Linked DNA regions of Caenorhabditis elegans. The protein of the gene in region 2 interacts with the protein of the main gene of each other region in a pairwise test. Each region holds a gene or a part of one and is shown on either strand. Other genes may lie near its edges.

Region 1 (6,519 bases), on a different chromosome or scaffold from region 2:
TTACGGTTAAAGGTCGAAAATTAAATACCTAATTGAAAATATAGTTTTTTTTTAAATTTGATATTCTCTCTTGAAAAACACCGAGAAAAAACGAAAAAATAGGCAAAATCAAATAATTTTTAATTTTTCTTCGGAACCCGTGCCAAACAATAAGACTTTCTTGTGATTTTTTAAAATTTCGAAATTCGATTTTTATTTGTTTAATTCAATATTTTTCTCAAAAAAGTAAAAATCTTGATTCTAGAAATTATATTTTAGATCTACATTTAGAAATTTCAATTATTTTTATTAAACTATGCATACCAATGAATACATCATCATTTTCTGCTCCTTCCTGTCCTGGGTCTTCGTTAGAAAACATATGCCTGTAACAAAGGTAATCAAATTAAATTTGAAATACAAATTATTAGAAATCTGATTGGTGTTTGAATCCGAATCCCTCCAAAAATCAAGATAGAAAAAAATAAAGATTATAACGGAAATTCATAACAAAACAAGTTTAACGATTTTAGAAAACAAAACAAAACAAATTTGAGGAAAACGAAAAGATTTAAGAAAAAATAAGTAAAATATTTATCGCCGAATGATCTTTCTGGGCCCTTTCTGTTCCAGACTCGGAGGTTTCAAGAGAATCGCGGCACGGAGGGAACGAAGAGTTTGAGCAGACGCCACATCGAGACGAATCAGGTCTGCACCTAGTGCTTGGAACATCTGAAAATGGGGCATTTTGGTGAATAAAACTCTTGTTGGAGTTCTTTGAAAATGTGCTTAATTTTAGAGAATGTTTAGAGAAAAAAATAAAATAAATAATTTCAAAATTATGCGTACGCGAATCTTGTAAAAGTAAAAGTACGCGAATCTTTCTATCACGTTTCATGCACAAAATTGGGTTCATTTTTTCTGGATTTTAGACTATTTTAAACAATTCAAAGCAAAATTTTCAAGTGGGATTTACCTTCTCAAGTTTACTAGGCTGATAACTAAGAGCTTGTTGAAATGGAGTAATCGGTACTTTGTGCTCGGGTGCCAATGTCAATGCCAATGCAAGTGTGTGCGCGATAAAACGATCATAGTCGGTAACATTGAGACGGATTCGTTCGGCTCCACGTCCAGTGTACCCCTTCTCATTAGTACTATCATTGAAAAACTGGGCCTGAACTTTCTGTCGGAGAATATCGGGCATCTTTAGCTCACTCAAATCTTTTCTCAGCAACTGTCTTTGCTTTCCCATTTTTGTGAGGATCTCGATCATGGTGGAGAGTAAAAGATAGGCGGCTGCACGTTGTTTGGTCTTTTCATTGTACATAATAAGAGTAACACACTCTGGAATTCCAGCTTCAAGTTTCTCTTTTTTCTTCTTTTCCATCAGTTCAGTGGCGATCGATTCAATTGCGTCAATCTCAATGTCTTCAAGGAACAAGGAAATTGGATAGATATCTCGTGAAAGTTCCGTTTGAACAGCAGGTGGAAGAATTGATGATTCGGCTTTATTCATCATTGTGATATTCTCCAACTTCACGTCAGCAGCACCATCCTCAGTTTTAACGTTCGAATTCGAAGCGAACGCGGTCTTTCTCATTTCGTCCAATGTTTCTTGATTAATAGTTCTTCGTTGAGCTGCTTCATCCATTTTAATTTTCTTCGAAGAACCAAAATTCGATGTCAATTGACGACGTTTCTCAGCCCATTTCTCTGCTCCAATTGAAAAATCGTTTTTGTATTCTTCAGACGACGATTCCTTCTTGTCACTGAAAATCTTCTCAATGTCTTCTGAGAACTTGCTTTCGAATGAATAGAATCGTGCAGGACGATATGTTGCTTCTCCAGTTCTCTGTAAGTTTTTTTAAAAAATATTCTTATTCAAATACATAATTCGATATTCCTTCAAGAGTACACAAAGGTGGAGTACAGAAATCTGAGAAATATTATTAAATGACTCCAAATTTTACCTTGAACCCGAAAATCTGTGTGAAAAAAATTCAAAGATTTTCTATATTCTATATTTTTTATATAAGCTTGAAATGGCGAATTTCATTTGTGCACCACCCATGAATAACTTTTTTCGCCTCAGAGACGCCATGTGTCGATTTACGAAATTTTTAATCTATATCGGATGCTGATTTCCGTTTTTCATTGATTAAAAAAAAATTTTTGGAGCGTTTGAAAAATCTCAAGGGTTCACAAATGAAATTCGGGGATTTCAAGCTGAAATCCAAAGTCAGTGAAATTTTTTTTTGATAGATTTTCGGAATCAGGGGAAAATTTGGAGTCATTAAAAAATATTGGTACTAGTCCTAAATCACCCCGCCACTTTTTTTATTTGTGTATTATTTCCCCTCATTTTAATATTATTCATTTTAATAAAACGTGATGTCCATTTTCCATCTTTAGGCTTAGAAATGGCTATTTCCTAAGCCTAAAAATACAAAAACTCCACACGTTTTTATTTGAAAAAAAAGAAAAAAAGTGGCGGGGTGATTTAGAACTAGTACCAAAATATTTTTCAGGTTTCGGTACTCAGCCTTTGAAAGAGTGAATTTGTTAGCTAAAATACACTCAAAATTACCTTATCAACCAAAGCAACAGCAAAATCGAATCCCTCATCAAGACAATTAACATCTGCCCCAACTTCTACAACATGCTCGCTAATATCTCCTTTTACGCTGAATATTGGCGCTTTTTTACGTCCTCCTTTTCCGTGTCTTTCGAATGTCAGCTAAAATGGATTTTTATTTTCATTTGAAAGAAGGTGCTTTAGAACAAACGTTTTTCAAATCTTTTGGCCGATTGTGCACGAATGAGGCAACGATATCAGAATCTGCAAATTCTTTGTTGGATTCCACATTTCTCACGTGGCAAGCCGTCTTCTTCGCACTCAGCTCCTCACTTGACAACCACATTTCGCCTCAAATTTAAAGATTTCAAAGTAAAAGCCTGTAAAATGAAAAACAAAGAAATAAGAAAATATATGAATGTGCATATGAAACACAGTATTTTTAGACAAAAAAGGTATAAATTCAAGCTTTTAAAGGGCGCCAGGCGCCACGAACTTAATTTTAATACATAATATAAGCAAGAAAATATTATTATAAAGATCAATTGTGGTGAGATCGGTTGACTGAAGAATTTGAAGTTCTCTGGTGAAAGTCGGAATGCATGTTGGGATCTATAAAAGGTTAAAAATTGCACAAAAATCATATTTAGGAAAAAAACCGAAAACCTTGGAAACTGTCTTCACTCATATGGCCTGGGCCGTTTGTGGAAGTTGTTGGCACCGTTTTCGGAGGTAGAAAGTCGATGAGAAAATCGAACTGATCACTTTTTTGCACTGCGCTTGCTATGTCGGCTTTTTGAAGAATTCGTCGCCTTGCTTCTGACACGTATTGCCAGCCCATTGCGGTCATTTCTTCAATGAAAAACTCGGCTGCTTGAGCCATAAATATCGGAGCATCAGACGCGATCATCTGTAAAAAGTGTATGAAGATCGGCTGGAAAATGACACTACTCACAAAGTTGCGAACATCGTCGTCTATTCGCATAATCTTTTTCACTCTAGCCATGGGAACGCTCATGTTTTTCGACTTGTTCAGCATATCCTCTTCAGAAATCTCAGTCATTTTCTGTTTTTTTTCACGCCAGAAATCTTCTGTCATTTGTCTCATCGAGGCGTACTTTGCCGGTGGTATCGCATCATTGTGATGGATTAAATTATTATAAGGATGAACCGCACCTTCTACAATAGAAGGCATATTTATTGGATGCATGTTCGGCTAAAATGAAATAAAATAAATAAGTTTTTAAAACGAGTTGATTTTATTCACCGTGTAGGGATGTTCCATGAACACTTCTGATTGATTTGTCCCATCATTTTGTATGTATTCGGCAGTTTCGTTGTTTTCGGCGTGTAAAAGCTGAAATAAATGAAACATTTGCTGGGAAGTCGAAAATTTTAAATTGTATTACTTACATTATTGTCTAAAACTTCTGGGAATTGCGACATCACGGCAGATGCAAGAAAAATTAACTTTAAACTAATTAGAAAAAAATAAATTAAAACAACACTATTCTTCTGTCGTGAAATATTGTGCATTGTGTGCACGTACACCGAGGCGGAAGATTGCGGACTCGATCAACTGCGCTCTGTTGGACACGATGACAATTTCAATTCTGATTTTCATTTCTGACGTTCTTTCCTCATGAGAACCTCGTTTTTTCAGATTTTTACATCTTATACAGATTAAAAAATGTTTTCATTCAAAACTAGATATTTTCTGAATTCCAGAACATGGTTGAACCAACTGGTCCCGCCATCGTAGAGGATGAACGCACTAAGGCGCTCAACAGCTATAGAAGAAAATTGGCAGAGTGCCGTGACATTGAACAGAAGTTGAAGGACTTGCGAAAAAAAGAAAGCGAGATGACCAAACAATTTGACAAATCCGAGAACGATATCAAGTCGTTGCAATCTGTTGGACAAATTGTAGGAGAAGTGCTCAAGCAGCTCAGTGAAGAGAAATTCATCGTCAAGGCAACCAATGGTCCTCGTTATGTTGTCGGATGCCGTCGCAGTATTAACAAGGAAGAGTTGAAGCAAGGGACAAGAGTTTCGTTGGATATGACAACTCTTACTATCATGTAAGCTTTTAGTTTTTTAAACAAAAAGTCTTAAACCGAAATGTTTCAGGCGTCAGCTGCCACGTGAAGTTGATCCGCTAGTCTACAAAATGTCTCACGAAGATCCTGGTAACATTAGCTATTCAGATGTCGGAGGACTCGCTGAGCAGATTCGCGAGCTTCGTGAAGTTGTGGAGCTCCCACTCATCAATCCCGAACTCTTTAAACGTGTTGGTATCACTCCCCCGAAAGGATGTCTGCTTTTTGGTCCACCGGGAACAGGAAAAACTCTCCTTGCTCGTGCTGTAGCATCGCAACTGGATTGCAATTTCCTGAAAGTTGTCTCGTCTGCTATTGTTGATAAATATATCGGAGAGTCTGCAAGAATGATTCGAGAAATGTTCAATTATGCTCGTGACCATCAGCCATGCATTGTCTTCATGGATGAAATTGATGCGATCGGTGGAAGACGTTTCTCAGAAGGAACATCAGCAGATCGTGAAATTCAGAGAACTCTTATGGAACTTCTCAATCAGCTCGATGGATTCGATTCGCTTGGAAAAGTCAAGGTTATTATGGCCACGAATCGTCCTGATACATTGGATCCTGCTCTTCTTCGTCCTGGAAGACTTGATAGAAAGATTGAAATCGGACTGCCAAACGAACAATCTCGCTTGGAAATTCTCAAGATTCACTCGAACAAGATCACCAAACACGGCGAAATAGATTTTGAAGCTGTTGTCAAGTTGTCCGACGGATTCTCGGCTGCTGATTTAAGAAATGTGTGCACAGAAGCTGGTGAGGAGTTGAATCATAAAAATTGCATTCAAATTATCATTTTTGTTTCAGGAATGTTTGCCATCCGTGCTGAGCGTGAATTCGTTATCGACGAGGACTTTATGAAAGCTGTTCGCAAGGTTGGAGACGCGAAGAGACTTGAGACGAAGCTCGACTATAAACCTGTCTAATTGATTTTTTCGTATTTATTGGACCTTTCCCGTTTGCATCTTTTAACCATTATCCCGTTTTCAATGTTTCCGTGTAAAAAAAGAAGATCCGAATCATAAATTATTTTTGGCTGGTTCTTGACATGGAGTAGATTTCTCGATAAATAATATTTGTAGACCCAAATAATGACGAGCCTCGTAAAAAAAATCGCGAAATATTATAGTAATTTTTCGATTCTCCAGACTTTCAAAAAAAAAATTCAATTTTATTTGGCACAAAGGCACTTTTCGTGTAAAGATTCTCAATTTATCCTGAATAAAACCCACAAAAGGTCGAAAATTGTTCGATTTTTTTCAAAGAAAATAGAAAATGAAGCTTTTCAATTAAATTTTCGTTTCAGAGCAATGGCGAGCACCAGTATAAAATCTGCAATCGCTCGTATCGGATCCATCAAGTATACAGAACTGGAGGACCTGAAATCAGTGAGCATATCCCAGGAGGAACAAGAAGCAGTTAGAGTTGAGCTGGAAAAAGAAAAGGTTTGAGCTGATATATTCTGGAATGAGATTTATACTCGGAAATGCCACTACCCCATTCAAACACAAAATGTCTGGCTCGTTAATAATATAATTAGATCGGCTATTTGCGTCATTCGAGAGTTTCAATTCACACAAAAACATTCCAGAAAATCTTTTTTTAGGATAATTGGCGCCCGGAGGAGCTACCGAAAGATTTCGAATCTCGTCTGGAACTGTTTGAAATCTCTTCTCCAATAAAATGCGTTAGAATTCCAAAACGGGAGCAGCGACACACTCAAATCATCATTGATGAGTTTAAGAAAAAGAAGAAGAATTAAATATGTCTATTTCACTTCCTTTGATCTCGAATTAATAATAAATCGATGCAACTGGTAGAACTTGTTTTTGTACACCGCAGTAAAGGTTGACAAAAATGTTT
Region 2 (4,470 bases):
ATTATGCAAATAAGCTTCTCCTAATTCTGCACTCACTTCACCTTTCCTCGGTCGTTTCACTATATTCTATACTATCCATTTATCATTTCTACAACTACTTTTTAACTTAAGATGACGCAGAAACTATCAGAAAATGAAGAGAAGGATGACACTGGTTACTATACACCGAAGAATATATTGAATCCTGCTATGTTCCGGTTCGTTTTCCCAATTTTGTAAATCAATGTACTAAATTGATCTAATCAGGCTGGCGGAGATAACTCGTGCCTTAAGCGAAGTTAATATGGAAGTTGAAAAGGAAAAGCTGTTTGATGATAGAAGACATACTATAAATGTGGACCAGTTCACCCGAGAAGAAATTGATATCAACGAAAGAAACAATGAATCTCCAGATGCTATCGAAATTTTAGATCGAAGGTGAGGAGCAAGCTCAATCGAATACCAAATATTACTTCCAGATCTGAGAAGCAACACTGCAAATGGACCACGAAGCTGAAGAACAACGAGGACACAATAGCCAAAGTCTTGATTATTTGCCTCATTATATCTATCACTTTATTAATGTTAATGCTGATTTTCTGGAGTTGAGTTAACAGAGATGAACGTTGTTTATCAGTTTTCAATGTTTATTTATTTCATAACCCATTAAAAAGTAAAGAGTTGATAATTTATTCAAAAATCAACAAGATAAACTCAACAATGAAGATTTACTTCTTCTTTGGTGCAGCCTTTTGGGCGGACTTGGTGACCTTTCCAGAGGATCCATCAGACTTCTCAACGGACTTGATAACTCCGACAGCGACGGTTTGTCTCATGTCACGAACGGCGAAACGTCCGAGTGGAGCGTAGTCGGTGAAGGATTCAACACAAAGTGGCTTGGTTGGGATGAGCTCGACGATTCCAGCATCTCCAGACTTGAGGAACTTTGGGAAGTCCTCAACCTTCTTACCGGTACGACGGTCAACCTGAAAAACAAATTGGTACATAAACGAAACAATAAGACAAATAAGTTACCTTCTCCTTAAGCTCGTTGAACTTGCAGGCGATGTGAGCGGTGTGGCAATCGAGAACTGGAGTGTATCCGTTGGAGATCTGTCCTGGATGGTTCATGATGATGACCTGGGCGTGGAAGGTGCGAGCCTCCTTGGCTGGGTCTTGCTTGGAGTCGGAGCAGACGGATCCACGACGAATATCCTTGACGGAGACGTTCTTGACGTTGAATCCAACGTTGTCTCCTGGGACGGCCTCTGGAAGAGATTCGTGATGCATCTCAACGGACTTGACTTCAGTGGTGACGTTTTGTGGAGCGAAGGTAACGACCATTCCTGGCTTGATGATTCCGGTCTCAACACGTCCGACTGGAACAGTTCCGATTCCTCCGATCTTGTACACATCCTGGAGTGGGAGACGGAGTGGTCGGTCAGTTGGGCGTTGTGGTGGAATGATGGAGTCGAGAGCCTCGAGGAGGGTCTTTCCGGAAGCGTTTCCTTCCTTGCGCTCAACGGCCCATCCCTTGAACCATGGCATGTTGGAGGAGACCTCAAGCATGTTGTCTCCGTTGAATCCAGAGATTGGGACGAATGGAACAGCCTTTGGATTGTATCCGATCTTCTTGATGAATCCAGAAACCTCGTTGGTGATCTCGGTGAAACGGGCCTCAGAGAATGGTGGCTCGGTGGAGTCCATCTTGTTGCAGGCAACGATGAGTTGCTTGACTCCAAGGGTCTGGGCAAGAAGAGCGTGCTCGCGAGTTTGTCCGTTCTTGGAGATTCCGGCCTCGAATTCTCCAGTTCCGCAAGCGACGACCAAGACGGCGCAATCGGCCTGGGATGTTCCTGCAATTAAAGTTTTATAAACGAGCTAAAAATTTAACAAAGTCGTACCAGTGATCATGTTCTTGATGAAATCACGATGTCCTGGGGCATCGATGATGGTGATGTAGTACTTGGCAGTCTCGAACTTCCAGAGAGCGATATCGATGGTGATACCACGTTCACGCTCGGCCTTCAGCTTGTCGAGGACCCAAGCGTACTTGAAAGATCCCTTACCCATCTGAAAAAAATCGGGTGAGAAAATCTTTCAAACTAGTTGTTTGTACTATTTACCTCCTGAGCCTCCTTCTCGAACTTCTCGATGGTTCTCTTGTCAATTCCTCCGCACTTGTAGATCAAGTGTCCAGTTGTGGTGGACTTTCCGGAGTCGACGTGTCCGATGACGACGATGTTGATATGAACCTTTTCTTTTCCCATGGCTGCTACGGAGTGAGCAAAGTGTTTCCCAACTGAAAAAAAAACAATTTAATTTAAAAGTAAGAAGAGTGCGGACGGTAGAGAGAATAAAAGTCGAAAAAATTATCCTAGAAACTTCTAATATTTTTAAAAATTAAAAAAATATAAAAAGTGAGGTCACAAATAAGACAGTTAGAACATTTGTTGAAAGCCTAAAATAAAAATTCGACTAAACAGTGAGAACAGGAAAAACGCTGGGACTGAATGTTTGACCTCATTATAAATTCATAAAATTTAAATTTCCTAATCTGGATAAAAACAAAGATAAAAACAAAATAAACCAACAAAAAACCAACATGATTAGTCAGATGACCAGAAAACTCACGTTAATTTCACAAGGCCCAAAAAAATCTCTCCCCCTCTCGTTGCTGCCTGCACATCTAACTCCTAGCACGAAAATGTACCGTACACCATTTCAAACACTCTCGGCGGGAGTGTTGCATACTTTTTCTCTCTGGCAGTTTATTTTCAATAAATTCTTCATTTTTATATTGTATAATGTCTTTATTTTATGAAAAATTCATTAATTTAACAGAAACAATGGAAGAACCAATGGAAGTTGACAATAAAAGACCAAAGGTGCTCACCTGGACAGAAAAATAGTTAGTTTTTTGTTTTTCGATTTGCAAAGTAAATTCAAATTTTCAGTCGTCCAAAAACGCTAGACGATATTGCATACCAGGATGAAGTCGTCACAATGCTGAAAGGAGCGCTTCAAGGAAGAGACGTATTGCTTAAAAAATTATTCAAACTAATCGTTTTAATTTTTCAGTTACCACATCTTTTGTTCTATGGACCACCAGGTACTGGTAAGACGTCAGCAGCTCTTGCATTTTGCCGCCAACTCTTCCCAAAAAATATTTTCCAGTAAGTGAAATACTGGGTGATAATTTTTTCCAATAATTATATTTTCAGCGATAGGGTTCTTGATTTGAATGCATCGGACGAGCGTGGTATTGCAGTTGTTCGTCAAAAAGTAAGATTGCCACTGATTTTTAATTAATTAAGAATTCCATAATTATAAAAACGTTTCCTGTTTAGATTCAATCCTTCTCCAAGTCATCTTTGGGCCACAGCCATAGGGAAGATGTTCTCAAATTGAAAATTATCATACTTGATGAAGTTGATGCGATGACCCGAGAAGCACAAGCAGCAATGCGCAGAGTTATTGAAGATTTTTCCAAAACTACTCGCTTCATTCTCATCTGCAACTATGTTTCCCGATTGATTCCTCCAGTTGTGAGCCGTTGTGCCAAGTTCCGATTCAAATCACTTCCAGCCGAGATTCAAGTTCAAAGGTGAAATTTCAAAATTAAGTGTTTTTTATAACTTTCGGTGTTTTTAGATTGAGAACAATTTGTGATGCAGAAGGAACTCCCATGAGTGATGATGAACTGAAACAAGTTATGGAATATTCAGAAGGTGATTTGAGACGAGCTGTATGTACACTTCAGTCATTGGCTCCAATTTTGAAAAGTGTTAGTTGTTTTTTCTATAAATATTGTGTAAAAATAGTACTTTATATTTCCAGGGCGATGACAATGCTCGAAATTGCTATCTCCGTGGTTCTTCGGACAGTTTACTCATTTCAAACGTTTGCAAATCAATCCTGACTGCTGATGTTCCCCAAATAATTGCATTGACAAAGGATATCACAAAATCGTGCACTGGTGTTGCTTTCATTCGTCGTTGTTTCCAACAGTTGATGGATGAAGATGTTATCAATGACGAGAATATTGGAGTAATGGGGAAACTGGTTGCGGTTGGTGGAAGATGAATACATAAATAGAAATGAAAGTTCAATTTCAGACTTGCGAAAAGCGAATTTTGGATGGATGTGATTTGGAAAACAATCTCCTCGACTTTCTGCTCACTCTTCGTGAAACTATCCAATGATAAATTAACACAATACGGTTTCAATTTGCCCATTGATTTCTCAACTTCAAAATTCACGTGTACTATATATAAATTTTAACATTCTATAAACAATAGTTTTGTGCTCAAATTTCGACAAAACATTGAGATTATTATATTTTTTTGAAGGTACAATTCGGCTTAGGTTTTTTTTCAGTTGAATACAAAATATCGAATAGGATAGTTTGGAATAAATAACTACTAGTTCCCTCCCAACTATTTTGCTCTCCGCTCAGTTTTTCACCCTCTGTCGCCCATCGATTTTCGC

Evidence for each region.
Region 1: the proteins of eef-1A.1 (region 2) and rpt-4 interact in a two-hybrid assay, tested with the Caenorhabditis elegans proteins (2 studies listed by BioGRID).

The regions. Positions count from the first base shown.
Region 1 is NC_003280.10:41,426-47,944, reverse strand, and holds rpt-4 (putative 26S proteasome regulatory subunit 10B), read left to right. Parts: upstream 1-1,812; coding exon 1,813-1,833; intron 1,834-2,566; coding exon of another isoform or gene 2,567-2,716; intron 2,717-2,765; coding exon of another isoform or gene 2,766-2,900; exon of another isoform or gene 2,901-2,905; intron 2,906-3,027; exon of another isoform or gene 3,028-3,095; coding exon of another isoform or gene 3,096-3,166; intron 3,167-3,220; coding exon of another isoform or gene 3,221-3,464; intron 3,465-3,509; coding exon of another isoform or gene 3,510-3,770; intron 3,771-3,821; coding exon of another isoform or gene 3,822-3,911; intron 3,912-3,967; coding exon of another isoform or gene 3,968-4,000; exon of another isoform or gene 4,001-4,038; intron 4,039-4,282; coding exon 4,283-4,635; intron 4,636-4,684; coding exon 4,685-5,412; intron 5,413-5,463; coding exon 5,464-5,582; 3' UTR 5,583-5,738; downstream 5,739-6,519. Other genes in the region: C23H3.5 (Nucleolus and neural progenitor protein-like N-terminal domain-containing protein), read right to left, coding at 304-361; rpoa-49 (RNA polymerase I associated factor, A49-like protein), read right to left, coding at 574-711, 956-1,831, 2,567-2,716, 2,766-2,900; Nuclear transcription factor Y subunit nfyc-1, read right to left, coding at 3,096-3,166, 3,221-3,464, 3,510-3,770, 3,822-3,911, 3,968-4,000; F23F1.10 (Reverse transcriptase domain-containing protein), read left to right, coding at 5,967-6,101, 6,263-6,418. UniProt on the Caenorhabditis elegans protein: The 26S proteasome is involved in the ATP-dependent degradation of ubiquitinated proteins. The regulatory (or ATPase) complex confers ATP dependency and substrate specificity to the 26S complex.
Region 2 is NC_003281.10:6,969,432-6,973,901, forward strand, and holds eef-1A.1 (Elongation factor 1-alpha), read right to left. Parts: upstream 2,282-4,470; 5' UTR 2,250-2,281; coding exon 2,106-2,249; intron 2,053-2,105; coding exon 1,884-2,052; intron 1,836-1,883; coding exon 1,015-1,835; intron 966-1,014; coding exon 708-965; 3' UTR 595-707; downstream 1-594. Other genes in the region: F31E3.12 (uncharacterized protein), read left to right, coding at 112-197, 247-417, 459-588; rfc-4 (Replication factor C subunit 4), read left to right, coding at 2,829-2,890, 2,937-3,015, 3,061-3,155, 3,204-3,264, 3,330-3,586, 3,634-3,766, 3,820-4,050, 4,098-4,184.